Linked DNA regions of Mus musculus: region 2 is reported to be linked to region 1. Evidence: microRNA targets listed by miRTarBase, many of them from high-throughput screens and not tested one by one. Region 1 holds a microRNA gene; the other region holds the end of a gene's coding sequence.
What was found. Region 1 holds the annotated microRNA mmu-miR-1948-3p (UUUAGGCAGAGCACUCGUACAG, at 7,794-7,815, shown strand). A microRNA usually pairs through its seed, bases 2 to 8, with sites in the 3' UTR of a target mRNA and lowers its output. Matches are read on the target gene's strand: a 7mer-m8 pairs with bases 2 to 8, a 7mer-A1 pairs with bases 2 to 7 and ends in A, and an 8mer does both.

Region 2: miRTarBase lists 1700094D03Rik as a target of mmu-miR-1948-3p. Seed matches in the 3' UTR shown: 7mer-m8 at 5,884-5,890 and 8mer at 7,468-7,475.

The regions. Positions count from the first base shown.
Region 1 is chr18:12,707,069-12,722,431 of GRCm38, forward strand. Mir1948 (microRNA 1948) reads left to right here and starts at 7,743; the gene lies at 7,743-7,827. Ttc39c (tetratricopeptide repeat domain 39C) reads left to right here. Exons shown (of 14, transcript NM_028341.4): 7 at 12,882-12,975.
Region 2 is chr3:90,060,679-90,076,041 of GRCm38, forward strand. 1700094D03Rik (RIKEN cDNA 1700094D03 gene) reads left to right here and starts at 2,130. Exons shown (of 4, transcript NM_028567.2): 1 at 2,130-2,205; 2 at 2,531-2,571; 3 at 3,747-3,876; 4 at 4,832-7,669. The coding sequence starts at 2,173. The coding sequence ends at 4,933. It overlaps 4933434E20Rik (RIKEN cDNA 4933434E20 gene), which reads left to right. Exons shown (of 7, transcript NM_025762.3): 7 at 960-2,663. The coding sequence ends at 1,155. It overlaps Tpm3 (tropomyosin 3, gamma), which reads left to right and starts at 11,973. Exons shown (of 10, transcript NM_001293748.1): 1 at 11,973-12,172; 2 at 13,042-13,167. The coding sequence starts at 12,056. It overlaps Mir190b (microRNA 190b), which reads left to right and starts at 9,342; the gene lies at 9,342-9,421.

The sequences.
Region 1 (15,363 bases):
CTATTTTACTTAAGTTATTTTGTAGCCTATTACCTGCACACATGAAGCTTCATGCATTTTACATGTAAACCTGATATTCATGTAGGTTGACATAATCTTTAGGAATAACCGACATGCAGATAGACTATTACAGTTTCCTTGTGTTGGTAACCCATTGTTTCTGGTTGCTTGGCAGTTATTGCTGGGACATTGACCATTGTTTTCCAGTGCTGCGGTGACAGCAAGTGCTGCCACTTAAGTGACTTAGCATAGTAGGTTCTTTCCCTCTCCCTCTCTCCCTCTCCTCCCTCTCCCTTCTCTCAGTCTCTCTCTCTTTCCTTCTTTCTTTCAAGTATCTACAGGTATAACTCTAGAGGCATTGTTAGAACCAACGAGTAGTAACTGCTATGTAGTTCTTGTTAAATGAAGAGAAATTCTATTTAGGCAACATGCAATTGGGTGTCCCACACTGTAGTAATTTGTACAATTTTATAGAGACAGTTTATTCTATGGTAGCAATGTTCTACCCCTCCCCACTGTGCACTCATATGCACGCACGTGTGTGTGTGTGTGTGTGTGTGTGTGTGTGTGTGGCCAGGGAGTGCATAGGTATACAGATGCATATGGATCCAGAGGTTGATGTTGGCTGTCTCGATTACTTACCACATGTTTTGAAACAGGGTCTCTCACTGAACCTGCAGCTCAAAGACTGACCTAGGTTGGTTGGCCAGTGAGCTTCCAGGCTCCTCTCATCCTTACCATCCTAGCGTTTGGTTACAGGTTTGGCTTGTACACAGTTGCTGCTGATTGTACACAGTTGCTCAGGTCCTTCTGGTTATGTGACAAGCACTCAATAGAGTCAGCCAAGTCCCCAAGTCACTTCTTTTCTGCCTCCCTTACAACCCTAGTGATGCAGGCCGAAGTGGTTTGAAGATAGTACGTAAAGGAATGTGTGTGTTAGAAGACCCAGCATTAGCAAGAAGGCATTGTTCTTCTAATTAGTGTCAAACCCTGAGCAGAGTCCCAGTACAGTCCTCAGAACTGCAGCTTGAAGACTGGGGGTGTCTCTCAACAGTGTGTGTGTGTGTGTGTGTGTGTGTGTGTGTGTGTGTGTGTGTGTGTGATGCCCTGGGATCCATCCCCTCTAATGCACAAAACAACCCAGCAATGCCTTTTTGCAGAGGCAGACAAGCTGACCTAAATTCAGGGACCCAAGGTAACTAGAATAATCTGGAAAAAGAAGATCAAAGTTTGAAGGCTTTCTGCAGAGTAATCAAGATGGTGTGGCACTGATGTAAGAGTCAGCATAAGGATCAATGAGAAAGAAGCCCCCCCCCCCTTTATGGTTGGTTAACTTTTGACAAGGGCTCCAAGACCAATCAATGGCCAAACAAAAAATGTCGTCAGCAATTGGTGCAACAACAACTAAACACACTGGTGAAAGAATTTCACTTGACAGCTATTTCATCTCCTACATAAAATTAACTCACAAAGGGGCAGCTCTAAATGTAGAATCTAAAATCACACACCTTTTGGCATAGGCAGTGGTTTATACAGAACACCAAAAATATAGAGACAAAAAATAGGTGAATTAAATTACAGCCCAGTGAAACACTAGTGTCATAAACACAGAGGGAGCAAAGTGACAGCCTAGATTAGGAAGAGGACTTTATAAGTTATATATTCAAAGGAGGATTATGTCTGGAAACAGTATTAAAACTCAGAATAAAAGGATAAATTACCCAGTTTGAAATTGGCATCCGCTTACTATGGACTCACCACCTCTCCTTGGAGTATACATACCCAAGAGAGGTTAGCAATGTTGGCTGGTTTTGTAAGACCCCCTTTCAGGGACCCCCTACTCTAGTCTCGGGAGAGAGAGAGAGCACACCCAAAGAAACATGAGAATCCTTCTTGCTGCAAACACATGAGTCAGTTTAATGGTGGAGCTCCGGGTCAAAATGTATCTCACGCAGGAGACAGTGGATTCGACCCCAAGGCTCGAAAGCTAGGGGGTTTTATGGGGTAAAGGGCTTAGGTGTGGGGAATTCAGCATAGTGACACACTATTGGCTTATTCAAACATCAACAGAAAAATTACTTGCAGGTCAGGGTGTCAGAGTTCTGTGAGTTGTTGACTCAGTTCAGATAGCCCTGTTTTGTCTTCACATTCCTCTTTATCTTTATGGTCAAGCTGTTTCCAGGAATGTTTTAACTATGGGGCATGCCCGGGTTTGTTTTTCTTTGTTCTCAGCCCCAGGCAGCTTCTAGGCTCACAAACAACCAGCAATTTCTGGGTACTTTATATGACTTACAGATCTTGAAATTTCATCTTTCTTTCAGTTTCAGTGGCAGAGCCTCTTAAGGTCACATGGTCTTTGGCATAACCTCCATGATGGCCCACAGATGGCCCATAGTGAATACTTGTTGAGATGCAAAGGGCAGATGAGCCTGTGAAAAGATACTTGGTGTTGAAAGTCATTTAAAACTGTCCATCCAATCCAATGGGAGGTAGGACTTCACACCCAACTGGCAGTGTACAGCAACACTGCAAGAAACAGCAAGAATCAAATGTTGGTGTGGCTGTGGAGAAACCAGAATCCTCATTCATTGCTGGTGGGAATCCAAAGTGGGACAACTACTCTGAAAGCGCCTGAACATGTCTTCAGAGTGCTAAACTTCAGTTTATACACAGCTCAGCAGTTCTTGGTATATACTCAAGAGAAATGAAAATATACATTCCATATTATTTATTATCTTTAGTAGTAAAAAGGTAGCGTCGAGGCCAGTGTCTGTCAGCAGAAAAGCATGTGGCACATCCATCGTAGCCTGCAATCCGGCACTAGAAAGGAATGAAGTCTGCGGGAGTCAGCACGTGCTGCCTGCGGTCCATGCTGGTCCCAGGGAATGCATTTAGTTATAAGACATTGAGGGTGTGCGGTTACTGATAGTCAAGAGGAAGATGAGGAAACTGGTCTACGTTGAGATGGTGGTGCCTGTGCATCTGTGAGTTTACAAAGGTCCTTAGCCAGACACCTGATGACATCCTCCCACGGTGCCATTGCGTCCAGGGACCTCCTTGAGGTCACTTTCCTGACTATGCCTGTCTCTGCTCACATTTGGTCATCTGTGTCTCTGTTCTCTGTCTTCCTTGCTCATCTTGAATCCCAGTCTTCCAAGTGCTACAGCTTAGTTCATAAACCAGTGTGTTGCTGTTTTTTCATTTCTTGGCATTCTCCTGCCAATTATTTTTAATTCTTTGATGTCATCTTTAACATGAACACATTTTTTTTTTAATTTTCTGCTTTTTCTCCATCATGTCAAAAAAAAGCATTCTGGTGTAGTAGAGAAAGTGTTGATTGAGGTTGTCTCTACAAGGTCTTGTGGGCTGGGAGTGTAGCTCAGTGGACAGTGCCTGACCAGAATGCACAAGGTCTGGGTTCAACACCTAGTATTCCTTCACTGTTTGGTCTTGCCTAGATTTTTAAAGTATTTATCATCATCATCGCTATTATTATTGTGTGTATGTGAGTGTGTGTGTACGTGTGTATGCACATACCTGCCATAACATGTATGTGTGGTCAGACTGTAGACTTGGTTCTCTCCTTCTCTTATCATACAGGGATCAAACTTAGGTCACTGAGCTGCCAACACAAGTGCTTTTACCTGCTGAGCCTCTTGCCTGGCTCCTGGCCTGCAGTTGTGATCCCGTGTGTTATCTATGTAAAGAGGACTGTACCTGCTACCCAGTGGATACCAGTCTTCAGCACCGTCACACAGGCAAACAGAAGCATTGAGTGTGTGGTGTTGCATTCATTAGTGTCCCCATTCTACTTGAGTTGAGTTGTGAGTCCCAGGAAAAAGCATTCTCTGTCACACGTTTCCCAAATCCTATGCTTGATTGTTGAGAGACAAGGGTCTCGTGTATGAGTTGCCCTCTCTGGCTCCACTTCTGTTAGAGGAGGGTTTGGTGACTTCTTTTCCAAGAGGCTTTATACTTAACAGGTAGAGACAGAAGAACTGACTGCTCCTGCCGTTTTTCAGACATGTTCAAGTACTTAGTATCTCTGGTGTCAGAGACCCGCTGAGGGATGTCATGAAAAACAGCCCTGTCCGCGCAAGAACAAGATGAATGTGTGACAGGGCAAGCCTCCTGGAGGCTACAGTACTTTCCTAATGACCCCACTCTGACCCTTAGAGTCTGTTCTTAATATGTCTGTCTGTGTGACTTACATGTAACATGTAAAGTTTAAACCGCATCATAAAAAACAAGATTTTGGGCCAGAAATAAGCTAAGAGACCTCGCTGCTCAGAGGTCTAGATTGGTCCCCAGAAGCCATGTTGGTGGCTGTAGCTCCAGCATTTGCAAATCTGCTGCCTTCCTCCGGTTTCTGCCCACACTTGCACGTATGCACCAACCATACATAGGCACACATATATATGTATACCAAGAAACTAAAGTCAGAGCCAGTTATGGTGGTTGGCCTCACTGTGTAGGCCAAACTGGCCTCGAACTCAGATGTCCATCTGACTGTCTCCCAAAAGCTGGAGTCAAGGTAGCCACCACCACACCCAGCTTACTACAGTATTTTTAAGTCTATTCTGTAAACCAGTAGGGCTTATTCACAAAAGCTCCTCATAGCTCAGCCTCGAGAGGTTACCCCCTGGTGTTTCCTGTATTAAAGAAATAATTCTAAAGGCATTTTCAATGCAAGGCTACCTAATGTGGACTTTTTCAAAGGTAAAGAGAGTATTAACAAATTGAAAATAAAAAATCCCTTTCCCTTTTTGGTGAAAATGACATAGATACAAGCCATTTCTGTCGGCACATCCTGGTAATGCCAACCATCATCAAAGTCCAGACCAAGGCAGGCACGAGCCCTAACTGATATGCTCATAGCCTGTGAAGAGTCTTCTCAAAGAGAGTCATTGTCCAGTGGCTTGGTTGTCTCAGTGGAAGAGCCAAGAGAGAACAACGGGAGGTTTGGAGAACTTGAATTTGAAGAACTAGATTGATGGTTGTCTTAGTCAGGGTTTCTATTCCTGCACAAACATCATGACCAAGAAGCAAGTTGGGGAGGAAAGGGTTTATTCGGCTTACACTTCCATACTGCTGTTCATCACCAAGGAAGTCAGGACTGGAACTCAAGCAGGTCAGGAAGCAGGAGCTGATGCAGAGGCCATGGAGGGATGTTCTTTACTGGCTTGCCTCCCCTGGCTTGCTCAGCCTGCTCTCTTATAGAACCAAGACTACCAGCCCAGAGATGGTCCCACCCACAAGGGGCCTTTCCCCCTTGATCACTAATTGAGAAAATGCCTTACAGTTGGATCTCATGGAGGCATTTCCTCAACTGAAGCTCCTTTCTCTGTGATAACTCCAGCTGTGTCAAGTTGACACAAAACTGGCCAGTACAATTGACCCCTTGTCAACTTGACACACAAAAACATCACTAGTAAGCCTCAACCCTTACAATCTTATTCATCCCCATTCTAAATAACTTTAAAAGTCCCACAGTCTTTACATATTCTTAAAATTTCAATCTCTTTAAAATATCCATCTCTTTTAAAATCCAAAGTCTTTTTACAATTAAAACTCTCTTAACTGTGGGCTACACTAAAAAAGTTTCTTCCTTCAAGAGGGAAAATATCAGGGCACAGTCACAATCAAAAGCAAAAGTCAATCTCCAACCGTCCAATGTCTGGGATCCAACTCATGATCTTCTGGGCTCCTCCAAGGGCTTGGGTCACTTCTCCAGCCAGGCCCTTTGTAGCACATGCATCATCCTCTAGGCTCCAGATGCCTGTACTCCACTGCTGCTGCTGCTCTTGGTGATCATCTCATGGTACTGGCATCTCCAAAACACTGCATGACCCCTTCAGTCCTGGGCCTTCAATTGCAACTGAGGCTGCACCTTCACCAGTGGCCTTCCATGGCCTCTCACAGTGCCAAGCCTCAGCTGCTTTGCGTGACCCCTTCATGCCTTCAAAACCAGTACCACCTGGGTGACCCTTACATATTACCAAGTCCTGCTGCAGCAAGAGTACAACCTTGGCCATCTCTGGAACACAGCCTCTTTGTGCTTTCAGAAAACACTTCCCAGAAGATGTCACCTCAATGATGCTGGTCTCTTCTTAATCACCGCTAATTTCTTAGCTCCAGCTAACCAGCATCAATAGTACCAGTAATACAAAGTTTTTGCTTTGGTAGTTCTGGTATCTTGTTAATCACAGCTGATTCTTCAGCCCCAGCTAACCAGAACTACAGAATCTTCACATTCAAAACAGCAATGGCCCTGAAAAGAGTCTTTAATTTTCCCTCTGAAATTTCACAAACCAGACCTCCATCTTCTGCACTGTTCTCAACATTATCTTCCAAGCTCCTACACAACATCCGACAGAGCTCTTAACAACGGATGGATCTTTAAGCCCAAAGTTCCAAAGTCCTTCCACAGTCCTCCCCAAAACATGGTCAGGTTGTCACAGGAATACCCCACTCCTGGTACCAATTTGTCTTAGTCAGGGTTTCTATTCCTGCACAAACATCATGACCAAGAAGCAAGTTGGGGAGGAAAGGGTTTATTCAGCTTACACTTCCATACTGCTGTTCATCACCAAGGAAGTCAGGACTGGAACTCAAGCAGGTCAGGAAGCAGGAGCTGATGCAGAGGCCATGGAGGGATGTTCTTTACTGGCTTGCCTCCCCTGGCTTGCTCAGCCTGCTCTCTTATAGAACCAAGACTACCAGCCCAGAGATGGTCCCACCCACAAGGGGCCTTTCCCCCTTGATCACTAATTGAGAAAATGCCTTACAGTTGGATCTCATGGAGGCATTTCCTCAACTGAAGCTCCTTTCTCTGTGATAACTCCAGCTGTGTCAAGTTGACACAAAACTGGCCAGTACAATGGTCGATCCCCTGCCTGCTGTATTCAAAACTCTCCCTCCCACTTCTCCCGGAGCATAACAGTGGCAGGTGTAAGCTAAAGCTCTTGGAGTCCAGAGCACTTTGCGGACCTGCTGAGAAATGCCCAGGGACACAGTGCCAGGAAGAAGGCAGAGGCTGGAATAACCGGAAGAGTGTGTTCGCAGGCACTCAGAGCACAGTGACTGCCCAGCACAGTGCTGCTTGGTAATGGCTCTGCCCTGCACAGTGCTGCTTGGTAATGGCTCTGCCCTGCACAGTGCTGCTTGGTAATGGCCCTGCCCCACTTACTGTTTATGGCTGCCTTGGAGAACAGGTTTAGCAGTCAGTGCTTTCATTTGTTTCCTTCTCCTTGTTGGTTTGTTTTTCTGTCTATTAGTGAAGGCCGCCGATATTTGTTTCAGGGTTGTTGTTGTTGTAATAAGATATGGATCCAGGCTGGCCTGGAACTAGCGGTATAACTGATTGACCTTGAGCTTCGGGGATTCTCCTGTCTCTCCCTTCTGAGTGCAAGCATTGTAGATGTGCACTACCAAAGCTGCCTTATGGCGTTCTGGGGGGTGGGACCCTGGCCTTCATGCATGGCAAGCAGACACCACCAATTAGGATAATGGCCTTCAAACAGTTTTGCCTCACAATTTGTTAGTGTATAATTTGCCTGACAAAAGCCAGTATTGAGCTGGAGAGATGGTTTAGTGGTTAAAAGGGCTTACTGTTCTTGCAGAGGTCCTGGGTTTCGTTCCTAGCACCCACATGGTGGCTCATAACGGTGTATAACTCAGGATTCCGAGGATCTGACATCTTTTCAGCCTGTGGGGCCACTGCACAGACACATTTAGGCAGAATTCTCACCTTACTATATGAGTATTCTGCCTAAATGTGGTGTACGGATACATTTAGGCAGAGCACTCGTACAGTAAGGTGAGAATCAGGAAATCTGTAATAAAAACAGGGGGTTCTGATCTTACTCAGAGCACTGTGGCTCCCACGTTAGCCTTCTCTGTGTGTATTCTTCAGGCCCAATTATGAATGCTACAGTTTATTTTAAAATTCAGCTGTGAGTCTTGTCTCCAGTTGAGAATAATTTTCCATCCTCTGTGCCATGGTAGGTGTTTTAATTCACCATAAAACCCACCATAGATTATTTTCTTGTTTTAAATTATTTTGGTGAAAAAGAGGGGTAATATATTTCTGCTATTTAGCAAATCCCTCAAGGAATGATTAAGGTTGAACTTGGGCTAATTTAGAGGTCGCACTGGCTCTTGGGGCCATACCTTTAAGCATACACACCCCGTAGGATCTTCAAGTGGTTTCTCGCATGAGAAGGAGAGATCACATTCTTCACACAGGTAACTTTTACAGGTGAGTGGCCTTTGTTTCCCCAGTGTGTATGACAGTCTGCAGGCCAGATATCTCAAAGCCCTTTCACTGAGTGTGGAGATCCAGGTTGACATGGCAGTAGTCATTTTGTTCTTAGCTGTTGTCTTGTGCACTGGGTAATACAGGCAGGCATTCTAAACCCCATAGGAGAAATAACCAGAGCATTACCTAACGGGTTCTTGTTGTGCTACAAGTTGGTTTTGTTTTTTGTTTTGTTTTGTTTTGTTTTGTTTTGTTTTGTTTAAGGCTGTGTCTATTCAGGTTGACAGCAGGTCACCCTTGTCTAGCTTAGCTCATGAAACCATTCTCCTGCCTCCTTGGCTGCCAGCTCTTGCCCCAAGGACTGGAAAGCCACCTTCTCCATAGTGCTGAATTTATTCACCTGTCTTCAGTTTGAAGCATCTTCTACATTGTATGCTCCCCTCCACACTGCGCTAACTGAAACAAGGCATCTACAGGGTCTCTCTCCCTCTGAGGTTCTAGAAACAATCGGTTCCTTGACTCTGCTGCATGCAGTGGTTAACAGCATTCCTGGGCTTGTGGTCACATAGTTCTGATTTTTGCCTGTGGCCACCCCTCCTAAAGGTGCAGGCGATAATCTCCCTGCTCTTGGGCTTAACCTGTGTCACTGTCACTCAAGAAAGCTCACTTTGCAGTTAATCAGATCGGAAATTAAATACTGGTTACTTGACTAAGTTGTTTGAAAATACACCGATGTGTGCCCATCTCGGAGAGGCTTGGGGAACATCAAGAGCTACAGTGTGGTGCCAGTGCTATTTCTTGGCTTCCATCTTCCTTTCTTGATGTCAGAGTCTTATTTCAGTCATGCTATCAAGGTCTAGACCCAATTGCTGCCTGGGTGCCTTTCTGTCCTCTGGAGGCACTGAACATGCAGCTGGAGACAGCTTAGTTGCAGTGGCCCACTCAGAAATATCCTGTGTGTGAATGCTGAGTCCACAATGCTGTGGTTCCTGTGCAAAAGAAATATGCTGTAGGGAGTGAGGAGGGGACGCTGGGGAAGAACTGTTGATCCCAAGGGAATAGCTGGGTACAGGCATAATAAGCGTGTGAGGGTCTGCACTCACTTGCACTCTCACCTGCACACTCACTTGCACTCTCACCTTCACACTCACTTGCACACTCACTTGCACTCTCACCTTCACACTCACTTGCACACTCACTTGCACTCTCACCTTCGCACTCACTTGCACTCTCACCTGCACACTCACCTGCACACTCACCTGCACACTCACCTGCACACTCACCTGCACACATGCCTCATGAAAGTTTTTGTCACAGAGTTGGTGTCTTACGTGTGGTATGATTCCCCCATGGGAGCTTTGTCACATTGTCTTAAGGTCCCCATCCGCACAGGGTACATAATTTAAGCACAAGAGGAATGCCTAAGTGAAAAGTCTCTTTGTGGCTTCCTCCCAGTGTTCACTGAGGGGTTGAAGGACACAGCTTGAGTCCTTCTGACAACAAAATGGTGTGTCACGTGAGGGCAGTTATCTGTCAGGTGAATATTTGTGAACGAACCATTGAGCCCACAGACTTCCTGAGTCACAGGCTGTCCTGCAGATCACCCCTGGCTCATCCTAGCCTCAGTGACCCCTAGGGCTTCTGGGCTTCTGCAGACCTCTTCTAGGACCCTCCCCATCGTCCCTGCCTAGCTGCCATGTAGGGAATAGAGTTGGGAGGCAGGAGACACAGCAAACAGCAGGCACAGAAGAGAAGGGCTGGATAAGAAGGCACAGCCTTGCCACTGTAGGGGGGAGGGGGTAGTGGATGGGGTGCCTTAGTCCCGCAGAGCAAGGAAGGACTGTGCAGGGGTGCCACCCACAGAGCAGGCTGTGTGCTCTCCCCGGTACTGAAAGGCTCTTGATGCCTATTTAATGAGTCTGGACCTTTTCTGACTCTTTGATGCTTTTTGAAAGTTCTTATCAAGTTCTTATAGCCTGAAGTTAGCAAACATAGAAAGAAATTTTTAATGGAAAGAAAAATCAGATGTCCAGTGGTTCCCTCTATACCTGGGCATATGTTCCAAGACCCTCTGTGACCACTGACACCAGAGAAAGCTGAATGCTAGATCTACATTTTTCCTCTGCATACTTACTCAGGCCATAATTTAATGTACACATTAGGCAAAGAACAAAAGTAAACCAGAAAAGAGTCAGCCATGCTCTGTTGTGAAAATGGCAGTAATGTGGCACTGCTGAACCCAAATAGCTCTATTCGTCCCAGCGGTGGCTGCAGTACTCCTTGCACTAACATTCTGGGTTCTCGAATGAAAGACACACACACACACTTTATATTTTAATATGCCTTAAACAGCTCAATGGCTGGGCCACTTCAGACCTCCACATGGCTGCCATACTCCCCCCGCCCCTCATATTCCTGAGTTATTTCTTACTAAAAGCTATATTCCATCTTGGCTGTCCCGGACCCAGACCTGCAGCTCCCTTGGTCTGAGTTCCCCAGCACCTACATGACGACTGTGTTCTCTGCCCAGCACACCTCAGGCAAGGCCTCTGCTCCTTTCCCCAGCATGGCGGCTCTCCTTTTCCTGCTCTTTCTCAGTCCCTTGTCCAGGAGTCCTAAAGTCCCACCTCTGTCTCCCTGCCCAGCCCTTGGCCACTGGCAACTTTATTTACCAATCAAAACCAACCAGCATCTTCCATGAGAATGTGCAGATTCTCATGCAATTTTGGGGACCAGATTAACATAATACATGCAGCATTAGACCAAACCCACAACAATGCGGTCTCTTGTACCTCTCAAAGTATCTTCCTATACTGTATTCTGGTTTTAGACAGCAGTTGACCACAGGCCACTGGGACCACAGAAAGTGGAACAGCAGATTTGGGGAGGGGAGTGATAGGTTATCTCTCGAGCTGCTCCTGGGTAGGCAAGTTCACTGGCCCCAAGGAAGGAAGCCAGGAGCAAGTTGTCATGAGGGTAAGGGTAGAAAGAGAGAAAGGGCAGGAGAGCTGAGAAGAGAAGGAAGAAGAGAGAGGGAGGGAGGGAGGGAGGGAGGGAGGGAGGGAGGGAGGGAGGGAGGGAGGGAGGGGAGAAAGAGAGAGAGAGAGAGAGAGAGAGAAAGAGAAAGAGAAAGAGAGAGAGAATATGAATTTGAGCAAGCACGAACAAGTGTCTGGATTATGTAGGGAAGAACCTCTGGGGCAAGGGCAGCCCAGCCTCTGGACTGGAAAATTCAAGGTTGGGAGCAGGGTGTGGCAGTTAAGGACTGCGGCTGATGAGAGAACTGGTGGCCAGATCTTCTTTGATATATAAAATATTCACTTCCATCCCTTGTCCTGGGTCCAGAATAAAGCAGGGAGAGCTCTACACGCAGAAATGAGTAAAACTGGCATCTGGGGGTGGTAGGTTCTGCACCGTAGCGGGCAGATGTGCGCATTGCAGATGGAGTCTGGAGCCTCAGAGAGTTCTGAGTGTTGAGATGAGACCAAATGACCAGAAGCAAATGAATGCCAGTGTTCAGTTAAAATCCAGCCATCCATTGTCCAGTTGAACAGAGGGACCAGATAGGGCAAGGCTTACTGGTAGTGGCTTTGATGGTTATTCTTTTTGACCACAACTAAATATTCACCAGAAGACAGAATATGGTCCTGTGCCTATTGAATGTGCTTGGTTACAAAGAGCTAGATTGGTGGACAGTTATAATACAGCGAAGTCTATATAGATGCATGTAGAGAGACTAGTATGGGGAAAGATGGGGTGAGCTGGGCCCTTATTGGAAACGTCACTGTCTAAGCCGGGCTTTGAGATGTATACCTGCAGTCTCAGCTACTTGGGAAGGACAGCTGGAGTCAGGATCATGGGATTGAAGCCAATATGGACCACACAGTGGGACTGCCTTAGTTAGGTTTTCTATTGCTGTGAAGAGACACCATGACTGTGGCTACTCTTATAAAATAAAACATTTGATTGGGGCTGGCTTACAGTTGAGAGTCCTTTGTCATCATGGCAGGAAGCATGATGGAATGCAGGCAGACATGGTGCTGGACCCACAGGCAGCAGGCAGAGACAGCCACTGGGCCTGGCTTGAGCTTCTGAAACCTCAAAGCCCACCCCCTAGCGTCACACTTTCTCCAACAAGGCCACACCTCCAATAATGCCACTCTCTGTGAGTCTAAGGGGGTCATTTTCATTCAAACCACCACAGGGACCCTGTATCACAAAACAAAAAAAAAGAAAGAAAAGAAAGAGAGACTGATGGGCTGCCTGGAGGACTAAGGCACTTGCACCCAAGCCTGCAAACCTGAGTTCAATCCCTAGGGACCTCATGGTGGGAGGTGAAAAGCAACTTCCAAGATTGTCCTGACCTCCACAAGTGTGCTGGCTGTGTCATGTATGTGCACACACATAAAATAAGTAGAAACCAGTTTTTAAAAAGGAGTTAATGTGCTAAGGTTAATCTCGCATCAAGCAAAGTGGCATGTTTTGTTAGCAGCCCTTGAACACCTTTCCTGTATGGCTTGCTGGGTCTGTTGAAAATCAGGGCTCAGGAAAAAGCTGGTTGTGATTTATGATGCTGATGCCAGGTCATAGCCAGTCACCCTGCTTTTCTTTTTCTCTTTAGTGTCAAATCAACAGTGCCTTGACTTCCTTCCACACTGCTCTGGAGCTGGCTGTGGACCAGAGGGAGATCCAGCACGTCTGTCTGTATGAAATTGGTAACTATGAGAATCGCGCATGTCTGTCTGTGTGAAATCAGTAACTATAGGAATCTAGCCTGTCTGTCTGTGTGAAGTCGGTAACCAGGAAAATTGAGCATGTCTGTCTGTGTGAAGTCGGTAACCAGGAGAGTCCAGCATGTCTGTCTGTGTGAAGTCGGTAACTAGGAGAGTCCAGCATGTCTGTCTGTGTGAAATCTGTAACTATAGGAATCCAGCCTGTCTGTCTGTGTGAAGTCGGTAACCAGGAAAATTGAGCATGTCTGTCTGTGTGAAGTCAGTAACTAGGAGAACCCAGCATGTCTGTCTGTGTGAAGTCGGTAACTAGGAGAACCCAGCATGTCTGTCTGTGTGAAGTCGGTAACTAGGAGAACCCAGCATGTCTGTCTGTGTGAAGTCAGTAACTAGGAGAACCCAGCATGTCTGTCTGTGTGAAGTCGGTAACTAGGAGAGTCCAGCATGTCTGTCTGTGTGAAGTCGGTAACTAGGAGAACCCAGCATGTCTGTCTGGGTGAAGTCGGTAACTAGAAGAGTCCAGCCTGTCTGTCTGTGGGAAATCTGTAACCAGGAGAACCCAGCATGTCTGTCTGGGTGAAGTCAGTAACTAGGAGAGTCCAGCATGTCTGTCTGGGTGAAGTCAGTAATCTGCCGTCTCTTGTGCTTAAGCGGGTGTTGTAGAAAATTTTAATTCTGACCCAGAGTTTCTACCCTGCTTTTGACCCTTTGGTTCCTAGATACACAGCCTGTATATTTACAGTAAGCCTTAAACAGCACAAGAGCTGGGCAGCAGCTTCCCATCCATGGTGTTAGAATCTACTTTCCTATCGATAACCCTGAGTTAACTTACTACTTGCTGTGTTTCATCTGGGCAGCTCCTAACTCCAGTTGGCCACCTAACCCATGGCAGCTTCTCCTTCCTCCTCCTGCACTTTCTTCTCCTCATGGTCCTCCTTCAACCCCAAACCTGTGAAACCTAAACCCCATCTGTCTCTTCTGCCTGGCTATTGGCTGTTGGCATCTTTATTTCCCAATCAGAAGTAACTTGGGGGCAGGGTCACTTAGCTATGTGCAAGGAGTCTTCAGGGCCCGATATTAGCATTAGAATACAAGCACCTCTGGCAGTCTGTTACCAGGGGGCATCTTCTCTGCTGCCCTCCTTGTCCTCTGGGAAGACACTGCTCTGTATACTGAGGATCCAGTCACTCTAGCACATGCACTAAGGCTTGTCTCTCGGGACTCGCTTTTCCTCGCTACCAATTTTGATTTGGGGACAACAGACAGTATGGGGTGGATTACTCTAGTACATGTTAAAATTCAAGGCTCAAGGCTCTCGAAAAGTAGTGCCTAGGAGGAAGCTGGAGCCTAGGTCTTCCAGTCTGTTTCCAGACCTTCTGAGCCACTGATGGCCAGTGGAGGGACTGTGTGTTCTACTTAGACTTTTTTTCTTTTTTGTCAACTTGCCCCAAGCCACCACCGTGATCTGGGAAGAAGGGACATAAATAGATGCCTTCATCCGATTGGCTGTGGGCAAGTCTGTGGTGGCATTTTCTTGGTTAATGATTGATGTAGGTAGGTCTGGCCCATTGTAGGCAAGCCAATAAGAGTGTTCCTCCATGGCCTCTATTCCAGTTCCTGTCTACAGGTTCCTGCCCTGGTTATCCTCAGTGGTGGACTATGATGGGGATCTATAAACCAAATAAATACTTTCCTCCCCAAGTTTTGAGATCGTACATGTAGACCACACCTAAAAATACACAACATCAACACACAGACCCTGAAGAACAGGCCCCAGCCTTCCAGCCATTCCTATTACAGCACAGTTAGAGACTGTGGGTTTGGGGTTTCAAAAGCTCACCTGTGTGTAAAAACAGGGAGAGACTTGGTACTTAAGAATGGTGCCCAGACAGAACTTAGCATATCTGTTCTTCCAGGAAGACCAGGGTACACCATCCCTAAGTCACGTGCTTTTCTGGTAACATAATCCTCATATAATTTTAACCAAGTTGTTTTGGTCATTGTTGTGTCCCAGGAACAGAAGGCAAACTAAGGCACAGTGCCAGCAGGTCACATCTAGGTGGGACCAGGTCGTTGGCAAGTAGAAGGTCCTTCTTGGTCAGCTTTGTGTCTTACAGGGACATGGACACAGGAGAGTGTCTGCCTAAGATCCCCTCCGTCTCCCAGGTTGTTATGAGAGCTTCTCTGGCTGCCTGCCTATGCTCTGCTCTGACCCTGGCACTTGAGAGATTTCAGAATCCTTTATGTAACCACCCCTCCATTTGCTGGGAAGAGCAAATACAACTTTGGGCTTGGAATATAAACAGAATGCTGGACTTTGGCCCAGTGTGTCGGAGATGAGAAATGAAGAGTAGACAAAGGAGAAAGGATGAT
Region 2 (15,363 bases), not on the chromosome of region 1:
CAGCCAGGCATTGGTGGCGCATGCCTGTAATCCCAGCACTCGGGAGGCAGAGGCAGGCGGATTTCTGAGTTCGAGGCCAGCCTGGTCTACAGAGTGAGCTCCAGGACAGCCAGGGCTATACAGAAAAACCCTGTCTCGACACCCCCCTCCCCAAAAAAAAAAAAGCTGGTGCCAGATATAATGGCCCACTTTCCTATAAGGCCAGCCTCACCTGCATAGTAAGACCCTTTCTGTCCCTTCTCTCTCTCCACATCCCAAGAAAGAAAGGATTAAAATTTGGATTCTCTGATAATATAAATTATCAAATTGTTTTACTAATGAGTTGTTTGGGCTTTGTGTTTTGTTTGTTTTGTTTTGTTTTGAGAGGTCGGGGAGGGGGGTCATTTTGTAATGCATTGAGTTGGGGCAGACTTGCTATGTAGACCAGACTGGCTTTGAATTTGTGACATCCTCTGCCCCCTGAATTACAGGTCTCTGCCACTATACCTTGCTTAGTAACTGGTAAAATAGATCAGATGATTTTTTGCTGCATTTATGGGGTGGAGTAATTTCTGAGTTGTATTTTGGGAATTTCTTGTTTTTAAGATGCATTTTTCACTAGTTTTAGTTAAGCATGTGTAAAGGTTCTGGCCTGAGCCGGGCGTGGTGGCGCACGCCTTTAATCCCAGCACTCAGGGGGCAGAGGCAGGATGATTTCTGAGTTCGAGGCCAGCCTGGTCTACAAAGTGAGTCCAGGACAGCCAGGACTATATACAGAGAAACCCTGTCTTGAAAAACCAAAATAAAAAAAAAAAAAAAGGTTCTGGCCTGGAGCTAGAATTACAGACACTTCATGTGGTTGCCAGGACTTGAACTCTGGTCCTCTGGAGGAGCGGTATATGTTATTAACCAAGGAGTCATCTCTCCAACCCCTTTTCTGCTAGTTCTCACTCTGTCCATGCCTGCTATATATTCTTCAGGGTCAAAGCACGAATTGGAAGTTCTCAGAGACAACACCAGTCAGCAGCCAAAGACCTAACTCAGTCACCTGAAATGTCACCAACAACAATCCAGGTCACATACCTGCCTTCCAGTCAGAAGAGCAAACGCCCTAAGCACTTCCTGGAACTGAAGAGCTTTAAGGACAACTATAACACACTGGAGAGCACTCTGTGATGGGGCTGCACACGTGCAGCCGTGCAGCACTCGGGATGTCTGGTTCAGCAGACCCAGGCTTTATTGGCCAAAGCATTCTTACAGAACAGTGTCTAAAAGGTCATTCCCAACCCTTTCTGATATTGGCTAAGACCTCAGTATCTCCCAGTAGCACTTCTTCTGGATTTGAATTCAAATGTCATTCTTAACATTTCTGTTGATGCTTCTTTGAAAATCTTCGCTTGATTTTGGCTGTAAATCACCTACCCTGTTAAATGCTGTTTAATCCCAAGGATGTAAGTTGAGGTGAGGTGTCTTCTCTGTCTGCCCCATTGCACTCAACTGAATAGAAATATTTGGGTTTAGAGCATCTCAAAAGTGGGTAGAATGTCCTTTGGGATTTTGTTGCTCCGTTTAAACCAGGTGTATTGTGACATGAACATGACTTTCCTAAAGTGGAAGGATCTGTCCCCACCTTCACCCAGTCCTTAGGACAAGTAGAAAGGGGCATTCTGGCACTTGGCATAACCTATGCCACGATGGTGAGATAATGTGAAAAAGTGGTATCCTCTGATGTCAGCGTATTAGTCTCAGTTTACAAAGTACTTAATAAAACTAACTACTGTAAAACCATGGATCATTTCTTTAGAGTGGTCTTTAGAGCAACAGGCATTTGATGTGTGCTTACATTTTCCTTACAGGACATAGGGTGTGGAGTGTCGCTTCCAGAAACTGATTGGATTGTGTGTCTGGATCTAAACTACTGATAGTCTGAAATTCCAACAGAAGAAATCCTAAAATAGGGACTGTGTGGCTCATGCTTATAGCCTGGCCTTGTCACTAATAGAAAGCTGGAGAATCAGGATTCCCTTCAGGTCACTAGGGCAACAGGCCCAAGTAACCAGTCAACTACCAGGACTAGGGTCATTGTTGGACGCCTAAATGTTGCTATGACTACTGAAACCTTGGTGACCAAACTAAACAGAAAGGAGAGCCTTCCCAGTGTCCCCAAACTTAGCAAGCATGTCTGTAGTAGATATGTCTGCAGAAAAAATGACAAAACTAGAAGAGGTATGGAGGGTCGGAAAGAGGGTTGGGAGTTGGTGGAGTTTTCTTTGATATGGTTCCAGGTTATTTTACCCAAAGTACACCATTCCCGAGAAAGACCCTTGGAAGCATAAGGGAGAGTTGGCAATATATGGGAAACTGCTTGTGGAACAGAGTGGCTGTTTGCATAAGTCCCTCTGGCTCCTGTATTTTCTCTTCAGTCTGATTTCAAGATGTGGAGCTTTCCCACTTGCCCCTATGAAGCTCACTACTTCATTCCTCAAAAAGTGGGTACTAGTGGTATGCTTCTAGCAATCCAGGAGATCAACAGAACTCCCTTCTCTTGCAGAATTTGCAAAGAGCTGTGGCACTTAAGAAGACTGTCGACAGGTAATCTGTTTTCATCTGCTCTCATCAGTTTGTATTTTCTGCTCTCCTCTCCCTGAGGCACCACCGAAATCTGCTCTCCGTGAGGACTCCTCAAGAAGGAAAACACAGAGCAGAGAGAAAAACAGGGAGAGGAGATGAGCCTTGTCTTTCTCTGCCCCTGCTTCCCATCCCCTGCAGAAACGGCACAAGTGTTTGTTGTTTTGCCTTTCTTTTTTTGAATGTTCTTGTGTTCCTCACCTGGCTTTGTACTAATTATACATCAGGTATTTCAACAGTTGGTGAACAAGTGACAGTCCCTGGCAGGTTGAACTGCAGATTTCACCTGCTAACATTGTGATGTTTGTGGCACTGGGGTATATTGAATCCAGGGCTTTGTGCATGGAAGCATTCTACCACCAGCTGTATCTCCAATCTTCCTCTTTTTTTTTTTTTTTTAAGTGCTGGCAGAAGCAGCACAGAGAGGCCCATACCTATAATCTCGGTGCTTGGATGAGCATGAATCTGAGGCCAGCCTAAACTAACTTGTGACTGATAGACTCTCAACCCCAAAGGGAGGCGCAGTTTGGTGGTATTTGTTCTTTAATTTCAACACTATGGGCAGAGACGGGGCTCTCTTGAGTTTGTGCCCAGACTGGTCCACATAATTCCAGAGAATCAGGACTATATAGTGAGAAGCCTTTTAAAGGAGGGCACAGATAGCTCACTTATAGACTGTTTGCCTAGCTTGCACAGGACTTGGATTTATTTTCCAACAGAGATGGGCATCAGAAGTTCTGGGTTAGCTACAATGTGAGTTGGAGCCCAGTTTGGGTACATAAAAATGTTTTTTGGGTTTTTTTTGTTTTTGTTTTTTTTTTAGTTGCTAGGCAGTGGTAGTGAATGACTTAAACACAGCACTCTGGGTGCAGAGGCAGGTGGTTCTAGGGCTACACAGTGAAACCCTGTCTGAAAATAAAGGGTGGGGTAGGGCAGGGGAGGGGGACAGTGATGTAAGACCCAGAACAAGGTGACACAAGTGAGTTTCTTTCTCTGTGTACTATAACAGCTGACCTGCATCTGACTCTATTCATGGTAAGAGTTCAGTAACAGTCCACACTAGATCCTAAGTCAGTTCAAAGCAGCGGATCCTTACTACTAACTTACCAGTTTAATTCCCACCCCTACATCTGGGACAGGTGGCGGAATTTTCATATTCACTGTATGTGGCAGACAACATTGGACCAACGGAGAAACCTATTTGCTGCCCTAAGGATGAAGGATACTAAGGAACAGGAATTAGCACTGTCTAACAAACAGCTACTAGTGGTGAGTTCTAGGAGGGCAGCCTGGAGTCTTCCCCTTTGCTGCTCTGTGTTCCTGCCAGCCAGGATATCAAATTCCTCTCTCTCTCTCTCTCTCTCTCTCTCTCTCTCTCTCTCTCTCTCTCTCTCTCTCTCGACTTAACCATATCATTTGCCTCTGAGATTCTTTTTCATTATTTTATCAGAACATTAACATCACATGTCAAAGTTCTTTTTCAGTAAGTGATTATTTTTACATTTTCATTATTTGCAGGTGAGATGCTCTTTTAGCTTTGGGTTATTAAAGCTTTGTTTTCTTGGGTTCTTTGGGTTGGGTTTAGTTTGAAACAGGATCTCACTTTGCAGCCGTAGCTGACCTGGAACTTGCTAAGTAGGCCAGGTTAGCCTCCCTGAACTCAGAGCTCCACCTGCCTCTTGTCTCCTGCATGCTGGGATTAAAATGCATCACTACATCTAGCCAGGGGTCTTATTTTATGTATTTATTTTTAAGACAAGGTCTGGCTCTGCATCACAGGATGGCCTGGAACTTGCAGACATCAAGCCTCGAATATACTGGAATTCTAGGCGTGTCTCCCCAACCCCCACCCCAGCTGCAAGTGACACATTTCCAATTCCCAGTGCATCATAGTCTTCACTGTTTTCATCCAGTGAGAGCCTAAGCCGATGTTTCTCCTCTTGGGGGACAGTTGTGATGTCACTCTTATTTTCTTGAGTACCTAGCAGATTTTCTAGTTCATGGTGCATTCTCAGCAAAATATTTGTTGAACAATGAGTCTCTGCCTAAGGGAAGGGAAATTAGGTAGGCTTCCCCTCCAGTGATTCACACTTTCTTCTACTGCCTCCTTTTATGTCCCAGCTAAGTCCAGGTGCAACAGAACACAGGGATGGGAAAGGCAACCAGAGTCTGAGAAGAGGTGTTGAAGAGCCGACACCAAACACTTTATTGCCTTCCCTACCAGGTCCGTCAAGCTGCCTTACACGAGCTGTTTGAAAAGGAGTATCAGCAGTACCAGCAGGAACTCAATCAGATGGGCAAAGCTTTTTATGAGGAAAGACTCTGACAGCTGCCAAGACACTGTTCTTCCACCTCGTCACGCCTGCTAAGCAAGCCTTCATGCTTTACCCTGAGCTTCCCAAAACACACCTGGACCTGGAACTTAAATCTTTTTCACTATTTTGTCAACCTAAATGTTGCCTCTGGACACAAGAGTGACACCTTGTGGTCAGTGTGGGATATGCACTGTGGCGGGAAGAGAGATTATGTACATTGTCTGGTTTTAAAAATCTGATTTGGTTTAACAAATAAAGCTAGCTCTTAAAGGTTCAGATTTGGGCTGGCAGGATGGCTCAGCAGGTAAGAGCACTGACTGCTTTTCCAAAGGTCCTGAGTTCAAATCCCAGCAACCACATGGTAGCTCACAACCACCCATAATGAAATCTGATGCCCTCTTCTAGTGTCTGAAGTCAGCTACAGTGTACTTACATATAATAATAAATAAATCTTTTTTTTAAAAAGTTCAGATTTAGGCCACAGGGCTTATTCTCAGCCTTGAGTCTTGATTTGTTCTTGGCTGCCATAATTTTACTTCCTAGATTGTGGGCACTGCCTCAGACTTCAGTTTCACTGATCTTTCCTAAATTCGTGGACAAAAACCATGTTTAATGTCTATTAATCTGTAGGCACTGTGGTGCTTGAGTGTCAGGAGGCCCCAGTTGTATGTTTAGAAGTCACCTCATTGTGAAACCATGGATTAGCCTGAATTCCCACTCCTACTTTACAAAACTGAAGCCTCCAAACTCTAATCCCTCTAGGCATTTGGCTTGCAGTGGAGCAAGTGTCAAGTATCAAGCAGTAGGTTTGAGGAGCTGGAAAGATCATGTCTATTCTCAAGGTGTTTGACACTGAAAATCCTGGAAAGTATACACCTGTAGGTCACAAAGATGCAAATGAGTAGCCTTGGCTGTCCTGAAACTCACTCTGTAGACCAGGCTGACCTCGAACTCAGAAATCTGCCTAACTCTGCCTCCCAAGTGCTGGGATTAAAGGCGTGCGCCACCACCCGGCAATGGCTAATATTTTAAATTTGGCTTCCATCGATAGTGCTGCTGTTCAGGCATGTGTGCCAAGGGATCTTTTCCTACCCTCAGTTTTGTGTGGCTGTCTCCACTGCAAAGTTCACATTCTCGTCCTTTTTCCTTCCAGCCTGTCTCTAGCCTGCATCCCTTACTAAAGCCTGTAATTTTCATTAGCTGTCGGGAGCTACTACTTCTTGTCCCTCCATATCCCACCCATGGAAAGCACAAGCTTTAGGGTCAGGTATAAGTTCACAGTATCAGAACATCGTTCCTCTTCTGGAAATGACAGACTCTCCTAGGATTTTCCTCGGGATTAAATAGGTAGAGAGCACAAGCCCAGTGATTGACCTAAAATACCCTCATTATATTTCTCTGTAACCCAGGGCCCTTTTCTGTGGTCCTGCAGTTAACGCACATCCAGTTAAATGTCATCTTTCTTCTTTTGATCACATTCCTTCCTCTTTGCCTTCAATGCCACTGCTTCCTAATCCCTTGTCATTCGTAGCTGGTCATGGATACTTTCATTAAATGAGTTGGAGCTACAGGCTGGTGGGGAAAGCAGGCTTTGAACAGGAGTTACAAGTGTAGCATGTGTTTTGTAGATGAAGCCACAAAATGCCACCTGGATTTTGATTGACAAGACTGACTGAATCCTTCTGTCTGTCCCTGCCCTGTGTTAGTCTGGTCTGTACCCTCTTAGCCTCTTTAATCTTCCTTCTGTCTCCTGGACCACCTGCTGATTACCAGATAGTATGGCCTAGAGTTAATAGAATGGACAGATCTGGTTTTCAGGGTTGGCCTTTTCGCTTAGTTTGGTCTAGTCCAATTTTTAATCTGAGAAGCGGGTAACTGGGGAAACGGCTCAGTGATTGGGAGCACTAGCTACTCTTGCAAAGAACCCAGATTCAATTCCTAACATCTATATGGTTACTCAACAGTTCCAGAGTATCCCTTTCCCGGCCTTGGCAGGGACCAGGCAAACGCATGGTACACAGACATGCAGATAAAACACCCATGCATATAAAACATTTTTAAATAATTTTAAGTCTGAGTTTTGGTTGCTAATTTATGAAATGAAAACAATTCCAACCTTACTGGGTTACTGTGGGAATTAAATAAGACACCTAGAAGAAATCACACATAATAAGTAATACAAACAGGAAGCCATAATGCTGTCTTCCTACTCCATGGTACTTTCTTCCCTAATTTCTACTCCCACTACACTTTATAACCAACCTCTTCAGTTCTCTCTTCCTTTGTTCATTTAGACTCACTGGATGCCCCATCCTGTCTGCCTGGATCTCTGACCTTGGCCTGTTGCCTCAGGGCTCATCAGTGCCAGGCCGACTCCTTTATTGGCAGGTTGGCTCACTACAGCGCTCATCTTCCCTGACCCTCCCTGCCAATACTGTGTGCACTCATCACATCGCTCAATTGTACCCCACCAGTCCATGCTGCTGCTGGAGCTGATGTCACACCCTGGCCTTGTGACTTGGGACTTAAACCTATTTGAAATAGCTGCCTAAAAACCACTGGCAGAGCTCTGTGAGATGGTGCAGTGGATAAAGACACTTCCTACTAGGCCCGATGACCTGAGTTAATCAACCCTCATAAAGGAGAGAACAGATTCCTGGAAATTGTCCTCTGACCTTCACATGGGCACCATGACACAACCACACAAAATATGAAAGTGTAATAAAAATAAAAGGAAAGATAAAGTACTTTCGTTGGTGTGGTGTTTCTTCTTAACTGCGCCACCCAGTCTTCCTAGAGAGCCGCACCTCCCACACCAATATGCCCAACCTTTCTCTGTTCCTATAGTACCCTAAACTTCAATTCTGTTTGGGTTTGTTTTTGAGTCAAGTTTTCTCTATGTAGTCATGGTTGTCCTAGAACTCACTATGTAGACCAGGCTGGCCTCAAACTCCAGAGCTGCTCTTGCCTCTGCCTTCCAAGTACTGCAGTTAAAGGTGTCTGCTACCCTCATTTGGGGAGTCTTCCATTCTTTCTAGTCTCCTTCCAGCCTCTCTTCCTCCTTTCTGTTTCCCATTATGGCCAAGGCTCTCAGGAGGGAAAAATAGAACTTGAGAGATGAGGGGTAACATCAGTAAGTGGAGGGCAAGAATATAAATATTTCATACACACACTCAGACTTTGGGAACTACAAAAGAGAAAAGACAAAATACCACAAGCACCTAACTTGGGGCTTAGTCACATTTATTAGTCTTTCCCTGGGAGGCAAGTGCCACATCCAATTAATTGGAATTGATTGGTTGTTGGGACATGTTATTGATCTAAGACAAAGTCACTGTGAAGTTGTGTGGGGGAGGGAGATGTCAGAATTAATGGGAGCAAGGACACATGGAACATGCCTGAGGACTGATAAAGAGTGTTTTCCCAGCCCCCGTGCAGCTATAACTTGGGCTCCTTTTTGCCACAGTGAGTGAAGCATCAGCCAAATGGCACTCAACAGACCCAATTCTCTCCAAGAGGGGGAAAAATAACCAGGTTGAATCCCTATGAAGGAAGAGCCTTGGAGAAGGCAGCCCCGGACCTCTGGTGACAGAAAGCTGTAGAAAGGAATGGGAGTCCTGAGGGTTGCAGGCTGCCTCCTGACAGAAGCAGTTCCCTCTTGCTCTTGATCTAAAAGCCTTAGTTTCAATTCAGCCAGGAAGGAGAAGCTGGGAGTCTGCTAGTCTGGAGCCCAGACTGAAGCCTGTGAGTGCAATAGCTTTTCTGTTCTGGACACCCAATGGTACCTTGAAGGAGGATGCCTTAAGGTCATGAGGAGGAAACAAGGACCCAGATGGTACAAGCACCAGCCCCACATTGCAAACATTTTCTGGAACTCCTGTTGACTTGAAGCTATGAAGTTGGAGTCCATTGAGAAGACTGAGCAGTCTCACAGGAGAAAAGAAATCTGGGAACGTTAGAAGTTTGGTTGGAAAGGAGAAAGTAGAGGAGATGCAAACCCCTAACCTTACCCCCCGGAAAGCCCTGGGCAGCTGAGGTGGCATCGAAAGGCAGGTGGCAAAGCTTCTGAGGCGCTGCTGACATGGTGATCCTCTGGAAGCTGGTGCTGTCACACAACAGGGAGGAGAAGAGTTGTGTGGGAGCTTCGGGAAACGGTAGGTGCCCGGATATGAAGCCCTGCCCAGTGTTCTTGAATTACAAAAACATGATCCAGCACACACTGAACACAGTAGAAGAGGGGTTGTGGTGGGGACGGCATGAAGGACAGATAACCAAGACCATATTTGGGGAGTGAAAGACCACAAGGGTCAGTGCCCTTGAAGATGGGTTTCCTCCTGTACATGGTGAGGCTCTGGTTCGTCTCCCTGACCTTTCTTCACAGAGAGGGGAGGGGCCGATGACGACCAGAGTTTGCCTGCCTGCTTCTGTGTGATATGTTTGATATTGGGTTGTTAAATTATGAACCAACTGAATGTCAAGCATACTCTCACAGCAGTAAGGAGACTTGGCACCACCTCCTTGGCTCCGTCAGCCCCTGGGGCTCTGAGACTCTTGTCTGCCTGACTTTCTGGTTTGTTTTCAAGACAGGGTTTTCCTACATAGCCCTGGTGGTCCTGGAGCTCACTATGTAGACAAGGCTGGCTTCAAACTCACAGAAGTCCTCCTGCCTCTGCCTCTGCCGCCTGAGCACTGGGACTAAAGGCACATGCCACCATACCCAGTGCTTGTTTTTTTTTGTTCCTTTTTTGTTTTTTTGTAAAATGTTGGTGATGGGACCCAACACCTCATATTCACTAAGCAAATACTCTACCACTGAGCTATAGACCCAGGTTATTACATTATTTTTTATTTTATATATATATATGTATATGTATATATATATATTTGCTGTCTTCAGACATACCAGAAGAGGGCATCAGATCCCACTACAGAGGATTGTGAGCCACCATGTGGTTGCAGGAATTGAACTCAGGACCGCTGGAAGAGAGCAGTCAGTGCTTTTAACCGCTCAGCCATCTCTCCAGCCCTATGATTTTTTAAAAAGATTTATTTATTTATTTATTTATTTATTTATTTATTTATTTATTTATATGTGAGTACACTGTAGCTGTCTTCAGACACTCCAAAAGAGAGCATCAGATCTCGTTACAGATGGTTGTGAGCCACCCTGTGGTTGTGGGATTTGAACTCAGGACCTTCAGAAGAGCAGTCGGTGCTCTTACCTGCTAAGCCATCTCACCAGCCCCATGATTTGTTTGTTTGTTGTTTTGTTTTTCTAGACAGGGTTTCTCTGTATAGTCCTGGCTGTCTTGGAACTCACTTTGTAGACCAGGCTGGTCTCGAACTCAGAAATCTGCCTGCCTCTGCTTCCCAAGTACTGGGATTAAAGGCATGCACCACCACTGCCCGGCTAAAAGTATCAGTTCTTTGTTGTTGTTGTTGTTGTTGTTGTTTGTTTGTTTTTTGTTTTTCAAGACAAGGTTTCTCTGTGTAGCCCTGGCTGTCCTGGAACTCACTCTGTAGACCAGGCTGGCCTCGAACTCAGAAATCCACCTGCCTCTGCCTCCCAAGTGCTGGGATTAAAGGCATGCACCACCGTGCCTGGCGATTCTTTTTCTAACTAAATTTCTCTCCACAACTCTCCTAAAAGAGATGTATATAGAGCCCATGTTAACCCGGAAGGCTCATGTGGAAGTGGGAGAGAGCTGAAATTTGAGGAGCAACTCTTCATATATCTTGCCCCCTATGGTAGAAAGGATGTATCTCTCCTCCTTGTCTTCTGCTCTTGTCTTTTTCTCCTCTCTATTGCCCTCTTCTCTATCAACCCATACATGTCCTTTCTCTGGTTCTCTCTTGTCCCCTTTTCCTGACTGGCCTCTCAATTGGGGGTGCTTGTTTTCTTTGCTTTCTTCCAACAGTTAGCTGGAAGTCTCTCCTCCCAGTCTGTTAGTATCAGTCTGTTCTTAACAGGGAGGCTCTCGAGAGGGAGCCGGCTCTGCCCCTGCCCCCACCCTGATGCTTGACTCCGGTCCCACACTGCTGTGGTTTAGCCTCAACACTAACTATCCTTGACATTATGAATTAATTAGAACCACTTCTACTTGCTCTGCTAGCTCCAGTCCGGTCACCTTGAACAGTGTCCACTCCTCTGGCATAGATGGGTATATGGCAACTGTGTATGGGATCAATTGCCACCTGTCAATAGCAAGATTCCAAGTGGAATTATGAGCATAGCTGGCACTACACTGGGGGAAGTAGAGCTGGTGGACACTATAATGGCATGGTGGACAGCGGGCTGGGGAGGGGGCCACAGAGGGAGCAGTTGAAGAGGAGTAGAGGAAAGCGACAGTCTTCAGTATGTCAGACCTTCTATTTTAAGGTCGCTATGAGAAAACGTGATCCTGTTCTGTGACCTCCTTGTTTCTCATCCCACTTGACACCCTGAGATACCCTTTCAGATCCCAGGCCTTCAACTTTATCCTATGGCCTTTACAGACTAATGTCTCCTTGCCTATTAGAGAATCCCAAAATAGCCCAGCAATCCCAACTGTCAATCTGGGGGAATTGTCAACGATCATGAGTGACCTCCCATCGTCACTGTTGACCACGCTCCTTAGATACCAGGAATCCAAAGACCAAACCAGTAGAGTTTGGTCCATATCCAATATAGTCCAAGGGGAGAATGAGAGATCTGAAGGCTACTAGGACCCCTCTGGTGGCGAGAACTGCTAAAGTACCCTTCTGTGCTTCAGTGTTCCCCCCTCTTCTGTTCCTCTACTTTTGAGGGACCCACAGAGCTGCCAAGAACGAGTGGAAAGTTTCAAGGTCAGGGAGAACCTCCCCCACCCCCACTTTCCATTGTCTAAAATCAGCCTCAGCTGTTCCTCAATTTTTTTTTTCTTGCTGGTGATGTCAGTCTATCAATGTGTCTGACCCTGTGTTCCCCCAGGGGAACAGTGAAGGGATGGGAGGGAGCTAGAAAGACCATGTTAGGAAGAAGAGGTGGAGCCGCAAGCACAGATAAAGGTTCAAACCTGGGGAACTTTGAGTGACCCGGGTGGCAGCCCTTCCTCTCTGGCCCCAGCCTCCAGTTCTCCAGTGTTCACAGGTGAGCCCACCAACGGTCACAGCTCATGATGGAGGCCATCAAGAAAAAGATGCAGATGCTGAAGTTAGACAAAGAGAATGTTCTGGACCGAGCTGAGCAAGCTGAAGCTGAGCAGAAACAGGCAGAAGAAAGAAGCAAGCAGGTAGGTGCTGGTATGGACCTTTCCCACTTGCTGGTTGCAAGACAGAGATGGTCCAGGCAATGGTGGCACACACCCCTGTAATCCCAGCACTCAGGAGGCTGAGTTTCAAGGCAGCCAGAGGGGCAGGGGGTTCATGGGAGAGGCAGTGACCACTGGGCCAGCTTCTTTTTTGGGTGGGAGGAATGCCCCAGTCTCAATGAAGCCCCTCCCCCTGAACATCTAGGGCAGCAGTTCTCAACCTGAGAGTTGAGACCCCTTTGGGTCATTAACCCTTTCACAGGGGTTGCCTAAGACCATCAGAAAACACAGATACTTACATTATGATTTAAACAGTAGCAAAATTAACAGTTATGAAATAGCAATGAAAATAATTTTATGCGTGGGGGTCTCCACCACATGAGGAACTGTATGAAAAGGTCTCAGCACTAGAAAGGCTGAGCACCATTGCTTTAGGGTAGCCCCTTTGCACTGTCATGTGACCTTGAGAAAGCCGGTGGCCTCTTCCTAGCCACAGTGTGCCTGCAGGACTTAAGTAGAAGTAGACCACATTTTGAAGAATGTCTTACTTCTAAAGCAAAGGGTAAGGAATGATCCAACTCTCTCTGTCTCTCTGTCTCTCTCTGTAACATCACAGAAATAAGCTTCCCCACTAGATGTTTATCATTCAACAGTCTTGCATTAAAGCACCAGATGACTTGGTCACCTTGGGGCCAGACATTATAGGGTCTGAGGTGAAGCCATAGCCTGATGCCTGGAGCATGGCTGAAGAAGTGTGTCTCTCCTGGGGCTGGGCTCAGTGCTCTTTGGAGTCCAAGTATACACTGTTGTGTTTATGTCTTTGTGTGTTACTCTCTGGGCTCTGGCTCCAGCTAGAGGATGAACTAGCAACCATGCAGAAGAAGCTGAAAGGGACAGAGGATGAGCTGGACAAGTATTCGGAAGCTTTAAAGGATGCTCAGGAGAAGCTGGAGCTAGCAGAGAAGAAGGCAGCCGACGTGAGTATTGGGGGATGGCTTATTTGCCTTCTTACCCATAGACTGTGGGGACATATGCCAACATAATACTCTTGCACATGACAATGCGCTGGCATGCTCTTCTGTTGGGGTATACTTTCTTACTCAAAGACATGTTGAGATTGAGGGCATAGTTCAGTGGCAGCATGCTTTCCTAACGTGCATGGATCCCTGGGTTCTACACTAGCACACATGCACGAGAGAGAGAGAGAGAGAGAGAGAGAGAGAGAGAGAGAGATCTCATTTCTGCACTATTCAACCTCCTTCGCAGTAATCTAATGACCTTTTCCAGAACCTGGACAAAGGAGGGGCCTCCACATCCAGATGCATGCTCTCAGGTATCCACTCCCCCACCCCCCCATGCCACATTCTTAGCTTTTGTGTACAAGGTTTGGCATGTGCATGTGTGTATTAATAGGGAGCCTCTCATCTCTCAGTTACCCAAGAAAGCCAGCTTAGATTTCACAATAGAAAATGGAGGTCACACTGACCTTGGCCCTATATGGGTTTATTTGTCCTAGCCAAGGTGGACATCTGCCTTTATGCCATAGAGATGCTACAGAGAACTCTGATCATAGGAGAGCAGTGACGTATCAAGGGTGAACTATAACAGAAACTGGGAAGCAGGCTAAGGCAGTACCCCTAGATCTTACTCTACAGCCCTGAATAAATTACATAGTTCTTAAGAGCCTTTTCCCCTCTTAAAACGAAAATGAATTGCCTCTGCCCACCTCCTACTACAGTTTGGTACCCACTTTCCTTCATTTCCAACACTGACGTTTGCTGCAAAGAGAAACACAAGACTATATAGGACATCTGCTTTGAAGAAAAGTACCACAGGATGGTTTATTTTTTATTTGGGGTGCTGGGGATTAAATTCAGCCCTCCAACCAGCTACATTTACCTAGCCCATAGGGGTTTTAACAAAAACAACAAAAGGATATGTCAGTTACACAGGCATATCATACACAGTTCTCAGCATCCAGGTGAGGAGAAAACTAGAAGCTGATGTTATTTTAAATCATGTTTGGTTTTGGAAAACAGCTTAAAGGACAGAGTGGATCACTCCCGACGGACGCATTTAGATGCTCACGTTCAGTCTTTGCTGGGAGGCATCTGCTCTTCTCTTTCTTTCTTTTTTTTTTTTTTTCTAATATATTTTCTAGATGTATTTATTTGCTGGGCAGTGGTGGCGCACGCCTTTAATCCTAGCACTTGGTAGGCAGAAGCAGGCGGATTTCTGAGTTTGAGGCTAGCCTGGTCTACAGAGTGAGTTCCAGGACAGCCAGGGCTACACAGAGAAACACTGTTTCAAAAAAAAACAACAAAAAAAAAACCAAAAAACAGCCGGGCGTGGTGGCGCACACCTTTAATCCCAGCACTTGGGAGGCAGAGGCAGGCAGATTTCTGAGTTCGAGGCCAGCCTGGTCTACAAAGTGAGCTCCAGGACAGCCAGGGCTATACAGAGAAACCCTGTCTTGAAAACAAACAAACAAACAAACAAACAAAACAAAAAACAAAAAAAAAACCAAAACCAAAACAAAACAAAACAAGATTAATTTACTATATATAACTATTTATTATTACTAATATTTAGATATAAGTACACTGTAGCTGTTTTCAGATAGAAGAGGGTATAATATCTCATTATGGGTGATTGTGAGCCACCATGTGGTTACTGGGATTTGAACTCAGGACCTCTGTTAGAGCAGTCAGTGCTCTTACCCGCCGAGCCATTCTTTAGCCCAGGCTGTCCTCTTTCAAAGTCTCAGTGTAGTGAGTGTTAGAATATACAATACCAGAGATTAGTGATGCAAATCTGGTGACAAGCACTAAAGGCAGCCTCAGTGTCTAAAAGTCTTGTCCGGTACAAGCTGCTCCCTCTCTGTTCCAGCACTACCTGGCTAAAAAAATTTAAATATGTAAAATTTTGTCTTATTTTAAATCCTCAACTTACTCCTGTCTCCTTTGTTACCTTCTCACATACTCAGTAAGTACCTCTCATTGATCCATACAAGAACAAGAAATTGACTGGGCAGGGCAGCAGAGGCAGGCAGATCTTTGTTTGAGGACAGCCTAGTCTACATGGTGAGTTCCAGAACAGCTATGGCTATAGAGAGAGAATCTGTTTCAAACAAAACAAAACTACAACAAATAAACAAAAAAGAGGGGGAAATT